Linked DNA regions of Saccharomyces cerevisiae S288C. The protein of the gene in region 3 interacts with the protein of the main gene of each other region in a biochemical or structural test. Each region holds a gene or a part of one and is shown on either strand. Other genes may lie near its edges.

Region 1 (3,168 bases), on a different chromosome or scaffold from region 3:
AGAGCGAAAACAGAGGAATATTCAAACTAAGAACCAAACTGCGATAAAGAGGATTGAAAGGAAAAACGAAAGAAAAGGTAAACTGACAAATATATACATTAACCGATGGGTAATTTCAGATTTCCTATAAAAACCAAGCTACCACCAGGGTTTATCAATGCTCGCATACTTAGGGATAACTTCAAAAGACAACAATTTAAAGAGAATGAAATCCTTGTTAAATCTTTGAAATTCATCGCTAGAAATATGAACCTTCCAACAAAACTGAGGTTGGAGGCTCAGTTAAAACTAAATGCATTGCCAAACTACATGAGATCTACGCAGATCAAAAATAGGTGCGTGGACTCTGGACATGCAAGATTTGTTCTAAGTGATTTTAGGTTGTGTAGGTATCAATTTAGAGAAAACGCTCTGAAGGGTAATTTGCCAGGTGTTAAGAAGGGTATTTGGTAAAAAATTTTATCGCGAAAGTATATATATATATATATATAGGATACGCACTTGTAAATAAATACATGATAATTTTTATTCTTCTTTAATAGATGATAATACTTACTGAGCAATACACTTATATGTAGAGAAGAATAAGATTATACACATACTGGGAGAAAAACAAGTAGCTATAGTTAGAGCTAAAATAACAAAAAAAGGCATACGTACATACAATGAGAAAAGGAATGGGATTGAAAAAGGGCAGTATCTGCCACTAAGTTAACGACTGAGAGATCGAGACACTCCTATAACAAGACACACTTCTTCTTCTTCTTTTCAGTAGTGTTCTTCTTAGCTTTACCATTCGTTTTAGATTTACCCATCAATGAAGCTCTAGTGGCGGCCTCAAACACTTCTCTGACACCATAACCAGTCTTGGCCGAACATTCGTAGTATCCGGTTGCGCCAATCTGGTCTGCTACAGATTGTCCCTCCTGTGATGTAACGGGTTGTTGACCTTCTTGTCTTAATTGTTCAATGGTTTGTGGGTCGTTTCTCAAATCCACTTTACAACCAACAAGAATAATTGGCACACCTTGACAGAAATGTAATACTTCGGCAATCCATTTTTCTTGTACATTCTCTAAAGAATCTGGAAGATCGATAGAGAAACAAATTAATACGACATTGGAGTCTGGGTATGACAATGGTCTTAGTCTATCATAATCTTCTTGACCAGCGGTATCCCATAGCGCTAGCTCTACACGACGCCCATCAACTTCAACATCTGCTACATAGTTTTCAAAGACAGTTGGTACGTAGACTTCTGGAAATTGGCCCTTGGAAAAGACGATTAATAAACATGTCTTACCACAGGCACCATCACCAACGATTACCAGCTTTCTTCTGATACTGTTACCAACTTGTTGTGACATCTTTCTAGTATAATTTTTAAAGTTCTATGATTTTCTATTAGTGCAACAATAAACCTCTAACAGCGATTCTTTTGTTTTATTAATTTTGTTCCTTTTTTGAGTTTTGTAACTTTAAGTTTGGGTTGTTCCAAAAATGTTTTTGCAATACTCAGAGGAATGATCGATGGTCGAAACGATATTAAAGACGAATTCCTGCTGGTAAAATAAATATATACGATTAGGATAAAGAAGTATTTGTATCAACTACTAAAACATGTAGTACCCAATACAAATCAAACAAAAATTGTATAATCTGTTTATTTTTTTTTCTGAGGCGAAGCAAATTGGAAACAACAAGAATTCTTGTATCTTTTTTTAGCCCCTTGTCACGCTGCACGACGCGTAGCACATTGATCGAGAATCACGATTTTATCAGCGACAATGTTATTGGAAATGAGGGAATTATACTGTGTTCTTGCAGTTATCGCTAAGGTTCCATAACCCAACCTCACAGATGAGGTCAGATTTAACTATTGACCTTCTTGAAACCAAATAGCCAGAATTCCATCTTGGTTCGTATTCGTCCTGGCAAGGCAACCTGTCCTTGCCGAATTTGTGAATTGTTTGATCTGCCATTAGCACATATAAAGTTTGTACTGCGGGATCGTAACTAATATCTTGAATAGGCTTGTCCAATGCTACCGCATTATAGGGAGATAGTCTTTTAGTTCTCATTGCAGTGCTTCCTAATATAGAACTTATATCCTCAAAATAACGGGATGATACATGATCCTCATATACTATAGTGGCGGCTCGGCGTAGTGAAGGTTTTGGTGTAGAAGAGTGGTTTCGCCAAAAGAGTAGTAAATTTCTACGCTGCCTTAGGGCAACCTCTGCTTCGTCATTCTCCGACCGTATGCCTTCGCTGTAACGATTTACGTGCCTCTCACCATGTAAAACATCATACAAAGCCATAGTGCCAAATTGAAATCCTTCAGGAAAGTCAACCTCGAATATGTCGTCGACTCTCCCATTCCCATATTCATCTGGTAGGCTGCCTGTTTCGTTATTAAGCCCAACTTTGATGGTGGGTAAAGAGTAAAAAATTAATCTTGAATCTAAATCGTTCCTATTTCCACAGTAAGCGGCAACAACAAAGCAGCATTCATTTAATGGTATTATCTTTTGAACTTTTGAATCAGGATACATTTCCAAGGGATACACCCTTCTCGATTCGTCAGATGATGAAGAGAAATCCTTAATCAAGTAGAGCTTTTCGCCCATATTTGTGGTAGCAATGATATTATCGCCTACTACAGTAAACGTCTTAACTGTACTCCAACTCTTAAATGTAAACCGGGTTTCCAAAGTGAGCCGCAAAGTCGTATTATTTCTCTCCTCCTGGTCAATGCAATGTTTTGTGACTTTCAACTTGTTAAAGGACATTTCGTTATCGGTGCCCATAACTTTATAATCCAGAAAGAATATTTCACCTCTGGGAGTAATGACCAAATGATTGAGGAGTCTTGAATTGTCAAGTTTATACGAATCTATTATTTGATTGGAAATTTTGTTTTTTGCAGCAGTTAATAAAACTAGTTTTAATGAGCTAGTAAAAGAGATCAATAATACAGTTTTCTTTTCTAAAGGATTGTCCTCTGTTGCTATTGGTAATTCCTTTATTTCTAGGATTTCTTCAGAATCATCCTTAAGAAGTTGAGAATCTAAACCAACTGCCTTACCATCTGATAGTCTAATACACTCCCATTCCCTCAAGTCCTGATTCAATACCAGCATTCGATTTATTTTGTCTAGATATAAA
Region 2 (5,244 bases), on a different chromosome or scaffold from region 3:
AAAGGAAGGTCAGCTTCGCTTAAAAATTTTGCGGCAGAGTTCCAGTAATTGTTTTTGATTAAATAGTTATAAATATGGGCGTACAATAATTGCTTAGAGTTCTTAGCCATTACATCCGAAACGAAAACTCGAGAATCCGCATCAAACTGCAACTGAGTATGGCTATTCAAACCTTTGATATTGGGAGCTGAGCTAAAATCCGTGTTACTAGAGCGCTCATTTGTATTAATATTGGTCGTGTTATCCATATCTTTATCATGCACCTTTTTCTTATTTCACTGCAGTTTAACGAAAAATTGACAAAAGAACCGGGAGATACCAAAGGGAAAAACCAAAAGAGTCACACAGGATTGCAATAGAAATCTTTCTGGTCTTTTCTACTATGGTGATTTTATTATACCCCTCCTCTTCCTGTTATACACGCATTGTATTTCGGCATTGCCTCTTGGCCGCTTTTTTCACCTGACGTAATACCTGTTGCAGCAAGCGAGTTTCGTGTGCGTATAGAAAAGTATTTACCTTGACATTTCGAAGAAGTATGTAATTACCAAATAGCTCAGAAGAACACTTGGTACGTAACAATCATCGTTTACCTTTTTCTTCTATCAAAAAATTTTCTTCTTTTTTTTTTCCTTCTCTTTTCTTAAATAAAATTGAAAAATTGTTACTTAGTACTTCATAATTTTACTTAATATGCAGTATGGATCGTTATAAATAATATTCGGCTACAAGAATCTTTAATCTTCGAATTCATCTTCGTCGAATTCATCGTCATCGAATTCATCGCTTACTCTTGAATCCAAATCTTTATCGTCCATTGAGTTGTGGGGTAGCTGATTGCGCCCTGTTTCATTAACACTTTGCTCCCTTCGTGATTCGGTATCTGAATTCCCAAGTGAATGTACGTCATTTGAAACGTTGATCTTTGAAACAATTCTTGTTGGAGCGCCGGCCTTTGACACAGAGAGCTTTTTGAACTCTTTATCGATACTAGTCGCGGCTGCAGAAGATGCTCTCCTTGATTTAGTTCTATTGTAATTGGAGTCTTCATCATCCATATCGTCTAAATATCTTAGTTTTGGCGATGCAAGTGGAGAACCTAGCTCCAAATATATTTGTTTTCCAATGTCCCCTTTGGACATTGTAGATTTATTGGGCGTGGATCCTGAGCTACTATGGGAACTCACCAGGTCAGACGCATTTTCTACATCAGACGAAGCGGCTAAAACTTCGTTGTTATTTGTGCTGCCGCTCACATTTCTTTGCGGGGCTTTAGTGACCTTGGCGGTTTTGACTGAATTTGCCCTATTTCTACTAATGTTGCTTTGTTGTGATACGTCAGTATCTTCATCGATGTTATCAGAATCATCATTGCTAATATCCGATAAGTTGTCGATGTCGACTAACGGGTCTCTCCAAAAATTTACGTCTGTGAATTTCTCTTCCTGATTGCCTCTAAATAGCGTTTTGCGACCTGAAGTAATTTCTGAGTCAAAGTTATCCAACGTTCTATTAGGGGGGGAGCCAGGAACCATGGAAGTATTAGTTCTTAGATCGACACTATCAAGGCTGACTGGTGGAAAGAAATGATCGACAAGCTCATTGATATGAATATAGGAGCTTCTGTAACCTGCTAACTCCAATAATTCCATATGAACCTCACCCTCTGTATTTATTGTGAAAATTCTTGAACTAGGTATCCCCACAGTTCTGTAAGATAAAGCATCAGTAATCCTATTACCAAAGCCGGCAAAAAATGGTGTTGATTTTTCCTCTGTATCCACTTCGTTATCACTGTCTTCAAAATACAAGGATCTTATGTCGTTTAGACACGCGATTTTAAAGACTTCAGGTTTTTTTAGTATTACTTCCCGCCTTAACGCAGCCATCGTTCTATCGGGTGATAAAATCACAGGCCCATTTGGTAGTTTGCTGCCATTCTGTTCAATTGATCGCAAATAACTCCTCGTGGAATCAGCTTGTCCAGCACTTCTTGCAGTTAGATAGAGTATATTATAGCCATTCCTGGAGATCTCGCTAAATAACTTGGCTACACCCAAGTGCGTCCAGTCTTTTCCTATCATTGCCAGAACATGGCCTAAAGCGTCCGATTTTGTGATGGTGCCATCAATATCACTGATAACAATTGGAACATCCCACCTCCAAACGAATAATTTTGACGTAACAATAGCTTTTCCGTGATCTACGGAAAATTTCAGATCATTTTCACCATAAGTTAAATTTAGGCACTTTAACTGGTCATTAGTCAATCTTATCGTTCGTATGTATCTTTTCTCGGTCTCACCGCTCCCTGCTGTTCCTTTCTTGCTAGTTTTTTCACTTTTACTGCTTTGTTCTTTGCTAAATGATGTTTCGTCCTCAGTATCGGAACCAGAAGGTGAAGAAGATAACGAATTCAAAGTACTTCCTGATTCCATTGCATCTAAGCCTAAAACTGATCCGCTTGTGGCCATTGTTGGAGGCGTACCTGGAGGAGATAAATCAGTAAGGTGCTCGTAAGGATTTACGATCTTGATGTTGCCATTTTTGTCCTCCTTGATAAAACTGGAAATATCTGAATCATTACCGAATTCGTCCTTTAACAACTGCTTCAGTTGTATGTCTGTGTCATGCATCATATTCTTGTTTGGCTTGTAACCTTCAGTGTCTAGTAGTAAGTCGCCATTGTTATCAAGTTTACTGGGTATATGGATTTCAGTGAGTTTTTTGTTTAGTTTTTGCTGAAAGTTCTTTGTACGCTGCTCAACAAGCTTCCTCTCTTCAACTGAATCTGGTGGTGTCGTTGTAGAGGATTCAGTAGGAGAAAGCGACCCTGTAGTTTCACTATTTTTACTGCCTGAATCTCCAGTGTCATTGATATCTAAAAAATCTGGTTCCTCTAGCACTTTCTTTTCCTTCTTCTTATTTTCATTTTCACCTTCACCTTCACCCTCGGTTCCTCCTTCTAAGATGGATGTTTCAGGTGATTGAGGGGGGCTTGATGTGGCGCTCATCACGGGCGACACAAGCAATTCGTCAGGGACATCAGTGACCTGGTCACCCATCTCGAAAACGAAATAGGCTTCTCCAGAATCACTCAGTTTCATTGGCATATTACTCAGTTTCTCATTTATAAACACTTGGACTTTCTTTTGAGATGGCTTTAGAATTTGAAATTTGCCGAACCTCACATGAAAGGGAGAACATGATAGCCTTCCGTCTGGATGCTCCACTACAATGACATCTATAGCACCTGATAGCGTAGCCGGATTGATAGAAGACCATGTTTTAGACACAGACCCAAGAGCTCTGCCTACGTACTGCATAATCGACCGATGTGTCTATCTTCAGTAATTTCTTCCCTGTATGTTTCTTAGAAGGTAAAACTGTGATTACGAAGGTGTAGTGTCCAATTGGTCTGATTAACACTTCTTGAACACGTTTTACTAAATTGTTGAATGTATTTTCTTTATAAACACAAGCCCCCACGATGGCCTACTCTTCACTTGTCCTTGCTCTTCCTTCTACCCTCACCGTGCGCTGCTTTCAACGCTGGCCGGAAAAGCCGAGAAAAAGAGATAGATAATAGAGAAAAGAGAGCCCATTGTCTAAAGGGAGGGAAACCGAAGGACGAAAAGGGCCCGCGACAGACCGTTTAGAGAATGAGCAGCACGTGGGCACTTCGATTTTGTCTCCCAGTGATGTAGTGTTATGATATACAAGATGAGTTTGGACCCTGTTCAAGCAAATCTGTCACATTTGTTAGACTTTTTTTTAAACGAGCCCTCCAAACAAGAACGCTCAGTGTTAGGAACTGCGAACGAAGAGAGAAATGCGTATTAAACTTAGATGAGTATTCTTGCCGTAAATGACTATATACAAAACTTATTCGGAAGAACCTATATCTATGTATGTGAAATGATAAGTACAAGACCCACTGTGATGTGCAGTGATGGCGAATAGGGTGAGGTCCCTTGTACTGTCTTTATTGTAGCCGCTTGTAGGAAAAGTTTTATCACATAAAATTATCCTCTAGAGAGTTAGATGAGCCAGAAATCAGGCTCTTAGTCCGTTGGAAATGCGTTACTTAATCCGCGTAGGGTCATTTGATACAGAAGCAACATTATACTGCTCTGAACACTTGTCCAGACGAATCTAGGGCCAACGCCACTAAAGAAACCTAACACACCTTCAGATTGGTAGACCGTCCGAAGGCTGAGCGAAATCGAGTTGGAAAGTGCTGCCGGTCTGCCGTTTGTTACATGTGGATGTGTTACTGAGTATGATTTGTTGCTTTGGCTGGGCGGCTGTTGAGTTTGGACTCTAGTCTTAACAACATCCATTGGTGTGGTAATGATTCCCGCCAGTCCACCTGCACAGGCACCAGTCAATATTTCATTAGGTATAGACAACTCACCATCCCTACCATCTTTCTGTTCAATCTTGAAAGCCAATTGCCTAAACTTTTCGTAGAAGGCAAACTGCAATGCACTAAATGGCAAATCTCTGGCTAAAGTGGCTTTGTATCCAAAAAATAGTGAGCGAAACCCTTCTTCTTTTATAACTGTCTTTATGGCATTTCTTAAATTCGAATAATTATAGCCAGATTGAAAGAAAGGATTATTGAACCTTCCTTGCAATTGTAGCCTTGTCTTTAGGACCTCTGATGGAACATAAACAAAACTGGAGATAAAATCGCCAAGAAATCCAGCGCTCAAATGTGTGATGGTATCGTTAATCTGCCAATCTTCTATCATTGTTCTCTTAGTATATTCATAGGTCCCAAAGAAGATTGCCGCTGACGGGAAGGAGCCTAACATGGCAGCCATGTAACCGCCGTATAGCCCCCTTCTCACGCCTTCTTCTAGCCAAATGGTACGATATGCAGAGATCATGTTCCTGTATTTTTTGACATTGGGTGCGCCCTGTTGTCTTGTCTTAACAGTATCCAATGAATGCATCGCAGAATCTCCTATTTTTCCACCAATCCCACCGGAGACGACACAATGCCATATAGGGCTTAAGTCCTCATCTGAATCGCCTCTTTTTTTGTGCAGTTTATCATCTTTTCGGTTATTATTTGGTTGATCTGGAGTTCCTTCTGATGTCGGGGGATGGTCATGAGGCGTATGTATTATCGGTATTGAAGAACTCAGGTTCCATGAGTTCATTATCTTTTATACCAGTCGGTTGGAAGTGAAGATTATTATGCGTGCTTCGTTAGAATACTCAGCGTTTGTTTTC
Region 3 (7,807 bases):
ATTGAGCGCTTAGAGGGACCGGGCAGCGTAGATTTTTGACTTCCTTAAGCTCAGGTACTGTCAAAACTTTAATATCTCCATTAATTAGCAAAACGATCATAATAGTTGAAAGCTTTCTTTCTCCTTTACCGTCAATAATGGGAATAAATGATAATCCACTAGTGGCAATTGGATACTTGAAAAGCGCATGAGTGTCCTTAGATTTACCTGGTGATACTAAACGAATGTCATTTGCGCCACTGATAGTAACAAATCCAGGTATTGCGATACCCTTGCTTAAACCCTGCATCTTTGATATAGTAGCAGAACAACTGTAGCCAGTATCTTTGGCAAAAGAATTTATTCCTAGAATTTTTCCTTGATTGTTGGTCTTTGTTGCATCAGTGAATTTAACCTCAAATCTTCCATTAGTTGCAGGCAGTATTTTGAAAGTCATCAATTCCCCGATATCCGTTCCACATAGCATCAAAATACTAGAGAACCCATCATCTCCATATTCCATGACGCAAAAGTGAACGGTTGAAACGTAAGAGCTACCAGCTTTAGAAATGACCCTAATATTTTCATTGAAGATTATAGCCGGGCCTCTTCTGTCCAATATTATTAAGGTTCCTTCAATGAAACCAACGGCAACGAACCCGATATTACTATTCATGATTGCGGACACCGCACCTTTTTTAGCATGTATTACCGTACTTGGTATAAAGCCTTGTTTAACGTTCGTAGGCCCTCTATCCGAAACATCAACTAAAATAGTTTTTGAATCATCCAATGAAAATCTGCTAAACTTCAATTGCAGTGCATCGCTTTTGGGAAGTTGTCCGTAAAACTTGTTTGTTTCGAATTTGAAAAGAATAACATCCCCAACCTCAGATGATACCGCCAATTCCAATGTTTCCGATGCAAAGGAGATATTTTTTATGGCCAGGTTAGTAGCTCTGTTAAGTACTTTAGCAGTATTCACTTCAAATACAGCGTTGTCAGTTACTTCACTGTGTGAAGCATCCCATATTCTGACTGAACCATTACTATGCCCAGTTAGTAAAGCAGATCTGGTCTCATGCCTTCTAATATTTCTGGTGGCAGGAATACCACCTTTTAAAAACGATTCACTTTGAGCGATTGTCATCATCCCCAGCCAAAGATTTTTTTGAACTGATTGCGCTATACAAGTAGTAACCGTTGGTCGAACCCATGCTAAGCTCCGAGGGAAAATGGAGGCCTTGGAACTAAAAGAGCCTGCTGGGTATATCAATGTTTCAAGTTCGCCATCTTCTAAAAGTAATAAAATGAGGTTTGTGTCATGGCATCCACCAAAATATGGAGAAGCCTTCGGCAAGGGTAGAAAATTTATTAGTGGAGCTTTGCCAATCAACGAAAATAGTTTTTGTTGAACCGGTTTAGCATAGTACTTGCTCATTGCGTCAAATGATGTCACAGAATACATTGGTGTGCCGCCTAAGTCAATCATGGTTATTTCCTGAGGTAAACAGGGATTTTCTGTAGCTTTTGTTGCAATCAACAACGATGTATACTCAGGATTACGCTGGCAAAGCCAGCTTACTTTAAAGATAGCGGGTGTTTCTGTAAAGGAACAGTCTTTCAAGGCAGGATTTGGAAAATTCACATGTGTTTCAAATATACTTCTAGCGTGAATCAGTTTACCGCTATTGACATCCCAAAATACCAAGGAATTATCTTCATGGACAGTTAATATATGTAAGGAATTTGGGTGATAAAGTGACTGAATGACCTTTGGAGTGCGTTTCTTTTCTATGTTTGTGGATAGATCACCGCCCGGAGCATACGGTTCTAATTGGTAAAAAAAATGTTGCTTGACTTTGTAGTCAATGAAAGAATATATGACTGTAATATGCTCATATGATATAAGTATCGTTCCTATGTCTCTAGGATTCCATTGGATAGAAATAACCGGTGATAGCCTCTCTTTTGGCAAAAACACACTTTTCTGGAAGTTTTCAATTTTCAATTTGGACATTTGATTTCTATCCACATCATAGATCAATATGGATCCACTCTCGAGGCCAATCAGCATCCAATCCAAGGACGGATCAGTCTCAATACAAGTGATGCTGTTTGGACAGAAAACAGTAGTTAGAATCTGTTTCGAGTGTACTGAAAGAACTATTATGTTGCTCTTCTCATCTACAGCTATCAGATAAATTCCTTTAATAAACCGCATGTGTTTAATTTGAGGTCGATTTTTTAACGTAAATACGACCTCTATTTGCTTTTGCCCATAAACATGTATCTCCCCAGCAGTAGTTGCAACTGCCAAAAGGCTTTGAGTATAGTCGAATGTGGTAACAGTGATTCGTCCATTTATGCCGTATGTGCATATTTTCTTAGTATCGAAAAATTTGGAGTTAATACCATTTGAGACGTCATGAACTCTCGCGGATTTGATAGCATTTGACACATTCTTCAAATGCCTGCTTTTCTTAAACATTTATAAAATTTTTGTATCTGTTCAATTGACAATTTTGTAACTTTTATAATCTGTCAACTTTAGAAATATGTTAGTAGTAATATAATACTGAGCTGTTTCTTAAATGCTTCCTTAATAATGTAAACAGAATGCGCATTGTTGAACATACGGCTTCGCATCGCATCGCTTAAACGAGGTTTTTCATATGCATGCTCCAAGATAGGTACGAACAAAAAAGAGGCATTGCATCAAAATGGATAGTTTCAGTTTATGTAACAAAATCTCATTAAAAAAACCCTCTCCTCCTATGAAGCGGAACAGTTCAACTTTTCCGCTTAGATGTTTTATATAAAATTAAATAAATCATGGCATGACCTTTTCTTCATAAATCCAAATCATCTGGCATAAAGGAAAATCCTCTAAACTCTTCTTGCTGGCTCGTTGTCAAAACAGAGGGCAGAGGTGTAAGTGTGGGTGGCGCAGAGGTGAATTCTTGCTCGAAATATGATGTATCTTCCGGAGATTTAATTTCTGGGATGTAGGGTGGTTTCACGCGAAGGTTTAAGATATCGTCAAAGTTGATGTTACGGAAGAAAGGTTCTTCCATAACTTCGTCTGCGTCCCTGGGACCAGCACCCAACCTCTTTTCAGGATCTTTTGTTAATAGGCCTTGGAATATTTGTACAATCTCACCTGCCATATCTATTGGGTATAAGGGTTCATCGGTAAGGATAGCGTTAAAAACTTCATCTTCGTCATCTCCTGAGAATGGAGATTGGCACAGTAGCATTTGATATAGCAGCACCCCAAATGCCCACCAATCGACAGCTTTGGTATATTCTTGCTCTTTTAAAATTTCTGGAGCCATAAATTCTGGTGTGCCACAAAATGTAGAAGTTCTATTACCATACCACATTTCATCTTTACACAAACCATAATCGGCAATTTTTATATGACCTTCTGGAGTTAATAGAATGTTTTCCAACTTCAAATCACGGTATATTACACCATTATCATGAAAATATTTCAGAGCCAGTAAGACCTCGGCGGCATAAAATTTGGCCCTTCTTACAGATAGTCTTTGGTTTTGAACATGCCACATTAAGTCACCGCCCCCAATAAACTCCATAGCAAAATATATACGGTTTTCAGTTTGAAAAGAGCAGTATAGATTGGTTAAGAATGGGTGTTTAGTTTTTGTGGCTAACAAAAATACTTTCTTTTCTGCTCTTGCACTCTCGATGTCATGATTTTGAATAATATTATCTTTCTTCAGAACTTTTATGGCACAAAGCCTGTCAGTATTCTTTGATTTAGATAAAATAACTTTACCAAAATTACCTTTACCAAGAACTTTGAGTAATACGAAATTATCTAATGAAACCTTACGACGTTTAGCCGCTCTCTTTTTATGCTTTGCGCTTGTGCTGGTTTGTGATTTCTGCGGAGATTGTTGATCAGTGGTTCTGGAGGCATGAGTACTTGTAGGAGCCAAGGACACTGTTTCTTGTAGTACTTCCTTTGAAGCATGGTCTTGTTCAATTTGAAAGGTTTCACTATTCATATCGCGGAATGGATTTGTGTGTGTGGAATCTATTGTCAAATCAGCTTCACGGAAATCATTTTTGTTCTCCCAGTCTAGTTTCTGTTTGGTCTCTAAATCAATGTGATCAACTTCTAGATCCTCTTGGATTTCCCCACTATCTTGTTTTATTTCAAGTTCCATTTCCTCACGTTGTGCTTTCCACAGTTCAAGTTCATCTCTCATTAAATCATCTTTAGATTCCCAAGTTTGACTATGCTCAATAGATAAATCAGTGAGTCCCAAGGAACGTCTATTCGACGTTGGATCCAGTGTTTTCTCTGGTGATGAAAATTCGGCGGTTTGTTGTGCACCTTCTGTAAAATTTAAATAGGCCTCATTTTCATCGATAAATTTATTTAGTTTCTCACGCCCGTGCGTTTGTAGTGAAATTCTTTTATCAATAATAGGATCATGCTGCTTAGTTGGAGAATCTCTTCCTACCTTCTGAGGCGAAGGAGTTTTATCATGTTTTCTTGGCTGAGGAGGCAAAGGAGCGTTTGCCCTTTCAGCTAATTTGGATGGGGAAAGATCACTACCATTGGCAGTACCAATAGATGACCCCAACTGTGCCGACGGAACTGTCCTCTTCTTTTTCTCTTGATTACGTTTTGTGTCTTGAATCGTTTTCAGAATTTTATTAGCCATTTCCATCGACATGCCACAGAAATCGGGAACCAAATGAGCACATTGAGCATGACACATTATACCACATTCAGAACATTTGCGTACTTTATGTCTACCCCATGGTAAAATATAACCACAGTGACAGCACCATTTAGTACCACGGTTTGAAGTAGGCAGGAATCTATGAGGAATACGGTGGTTCAACTTTGCCTCGTCCGGATCCGTATCAGTAGAAGTTTTAGCAATACACTTAGTAACAACATTGGTGTAACATTTTTTGTGACATAAAAATTTACAATCTTGACATTGGAACCCAGTATACCGAAGGAAATCACCACAATATGCACAGCACATAATGTTGTAAAATGATTTTTGTACAAAGTGGTGGCCATGCTGTTCGAATATCTCTTCTTTCCTATTGATAATAGCACCATGACGATGTAGTCCACCCATCAACTGCTTCCTTTCTATTTGAGAAGACTTGTGGAATCCTAGTGTTAACAAAATCTGCCCGGATGGTTCTAAGACAAACCATGAATTCGTACTGATTTGACTAGTTGATGTATTTTCGCCTTGCACATTCTTTGCTGAAGTAGACTGAATGGCTGAGTTTGAGTATGTAGAAGTCAATGTGCTTCCCTCTTCGCTAGCGAGAGAAGAACCACCATTAATGTTTGAAGCGTTGACCCATCCTTGTTGTTCATTTGTTTGTCCGGCTTTCTTCTTACGAATTTCTTCAGCGATATCGGAAAGCAGTAACCACATTATAGCCACTGGAATGAGCGAGTCGTTCACCTTATCATATACAGTAATCTCGATTTCATTCCCTTTTTCAACTGGAATTTGAAAATCTTCACTCCACCTGTCATTTCTAGAAGGCTTCGTTCTGGCTTTGATCGTATCATCGATTTTTATAGTAACGTAGCTCTCTGGCTTCCTGGCAAACATCGGTGATTGTATATGGTCAACATCTCTAGCAGCAGTTATTCCAATTGTTAGAACGCCAGTCAGTTGTTTTCTTCGGAATTTCGGTTGTTGATTATCCATTATGTCATTGGGTTGGTGTTTAAATTGATCAAAGTCAACGTTAATAGCTTGGTATTTCTTCAAAGCTTTGTTAAGCATTTGAATCCTGTATTTGGATTCCATAGCACCCCCTTCTGCCGCAGAACTACTACGTTGATCACCGTCAATTTGATACAATTTAGTCAATTTAGTATTGGCTTCTTGGTATTGCTTTTCCACCTGTAATTTGAATTCTAATTGTTGCAACATGTATTGGATTCTTTGCGCCAAAGAAGGGCAATCATATTTTACTAAATCCAAACGAGAAAATATGTGTTCATTTGGCGATTTGGTAGAAAGAAACCCGTATTCCTTCGAATTGCATCGCTCATTATCTTCGCTGCCATTTTCACCCTGACTTTGTTGAGCGGTCTTCAACCGTAATTTTTTTAAGCTATCCTCCAAGTACTCAAGATTTTGACGTGCCTCTCTAATATTCGTATTACATTTCTGAATGACCATAACATTGCTAGTCTTTTTCTTGAGGGCAGAAGCTCCCCGAATAATATTTTCTTCGACGGCTATCTTTTTTTTAATGTTCTGCTCCAATTGTGAAAAACTCATGACTGTAAACTGCTCCCTATATGTGTGATACTATACTTACTTTTCCTCGCTAGAGCTTCTCTCCGCAGCTACTGTTCTAGGTTTTATTCCTATTGATTATCTAATATAGTTTTAAAAATCTATACTGAAAGGGGATCGACGCTGAATACCTCTAACGTAAGTGTGGACGAGTGGTGGCAGAGACTTTTACAATGGTTAATAATCAGTCTCTACTCAGCCAAATTGAATAGCAGTGAAATCGTAGCTCTTTTACTGCTCCTGAACCTGTCGTATTACTTTCGATAGAGTAGATCAACTTTATTATCCACGCTTGTTAACTCTTTTCGTCGGTTTTTTTCGCCTTTAAAACTAGGCGGGCTGGGTAATGAAGATAGCAATGCCTCATAAATACAATGTTATACTAATTACGTTTTTTCTTTGGTTATGTATATATATTGTGAGAATAAAGAGAAGTTGCAAGATTTGGTTTATTGTACAATACTACTTATTACACTGGCAGGTGCAACCTGGAGTGGGACAAACATTATGTCTGTCAAACCATTCTTCAGCGTGACCGGCATGCATACCATGGTTGCAACTCAAACAGAAGCTGAACCACTCGTTCAACTTCAGTTTTCTACTTACGAGTTCGCGATTTGCACCATCTTGAGAGTCTTCTGTCTGCATTGGATCGCGTGATTGCGTCCCATTTATTACAAAAGGTAAGTTTGACGTTCCTAGAGGCATGAGACATATGGCACATCTTGGAAATGAAGACCCACAGTGTGGGCAACAATACTTATGTCTTGGCTTTTCATCAGCTGCTTGTGCTTCAGAACTTCCAGTATTAAATTTCTTGTAGTCAGCGTTATTTCTTCTATAGGCTTCACCATTTTTGTAATTTCCAGCACTAGTAGAGACGGCGCTAGAAGGTGAGGATGTGCGCGGAGTGTTGATGTTTTGTTTACAGTTTTGACATTGGATATATATTTGCCGGGGCTTTATGTCTGCAGTTAATACACCAGTTTTAGTTCTCGATAATTTTGATCTTAAAACATCGAACCTGGCTCGCATGGAGAATAATTCCCACGATTTAAGCATATCTCTATAAGTTTGTATCCATTCATCTACTCGTTGGTCGCGGAAATATCTAGGGGAGCCGAAAATTGATATCAGTGCGGCACTCTGAACATCGCTGGTTTTATTAACGTATGATTGCAGTAGATCGATACCATTAGGTGTTATTCCGGTGAGAATTAAACCTTCTAATTCGCCGTTTTCAATAACTGTAGATGAAGTTCTATCTAAGAAAGTGGTTAGGTCTGTATCATTCAAAAACCTTAGAGCTACCCCTAATCGTTCTCTCAAAGATATGGCAGGTTCATAAAGAATATCCCACCAATCATTGTCTGCGATAAAGGCGAAAATAACTCTCAAGTAAGGATCATCTAATTCGGAGGACATTTTTCTGCATTGCTGCCTCCATGCATTGTTACCTGGCAGATCCTTATACGCCAAGTAACCTGCAATAGCGGTGGCAA

What was found. Proteins that work in one complex are often made in the same cells at the same time.
Region 1: the proteins of PKC1 (region 3) and RHO1 form a complex in vitro, tested with the Saccharomyces cerevisiae proteins (4 studies listed by BioGRID).
Region 2: of the proteins of PKC1 (region 3) and PAH1, one has a biochemical effect on the other in vitro, tested with the Saccharomyces cerevisiae proteins (3 studies listed by BioGRID).

Annotation. Positions count from the first base shown.
Region 1 is NC_001148.4:873,567-876,734, reverse strand, and holds RHO1 (Rho family GTPase RHO1), read right to left. Parts: upstream 1,368-3,168; coding exon 738-1,367; downstream 1-737. Other genes in the region: mitochondrial 37S ribosomal protein uS14m MRP2, read left to right, coding at 106-453; MMS1 (Mms1p), read right to left, coding at 1,809-3,168. UniProt on the Saccharomyces cerevisiae protein: Acts as a central regulator in the cell wall integrity signaling pathway, which is regulated by the cell cycle and in response to various types of cell wall stress.
Region 2 is NC_001145.3:589,303-594,546, forward strand, and holds PAH1 (phosphatidate phosphatase PAH1), read right to left. Parts: upstream 3,327-5,244; coding exon 738-3,326; downstream 1-737. Other genes in the region: MSS11 (Mss11p), read right to left, coding at 1-248; MME1 (Mme1p), read right to left, coding at 4,065-5,171. UniProt on the Saccharomyces cerevisiae protein: Mg(2+)-dependent phosphatidate (PA) phosphatase which catalyzes the dephosphorylation of PA to yield diacylglycerol. Required for de novo lipid synthesis and formation of lipid droplets.
Region 3 is NC_001134.8:11,410-19,216, forward strand, and holds PKC1 (protein kinase C), read right to left. Parts: upstream 6,288-7,807; coding exon 2,832-6,287; downstream 1-2,831. Other genes in the region: putative Rab GTPase-binding protein SRO77, read right to left, coding at 1-2,470; SEA4 (Sea4p), read right to left, coding at 6,768-7,807. UniProt on the Saccharomyces cerevisiae protein: Required for cell growth and for the G2->M transition of the cell division cycle. Mediates a protein kinase cascade; it activates BCK1 which itself activates MKK1/MKK2.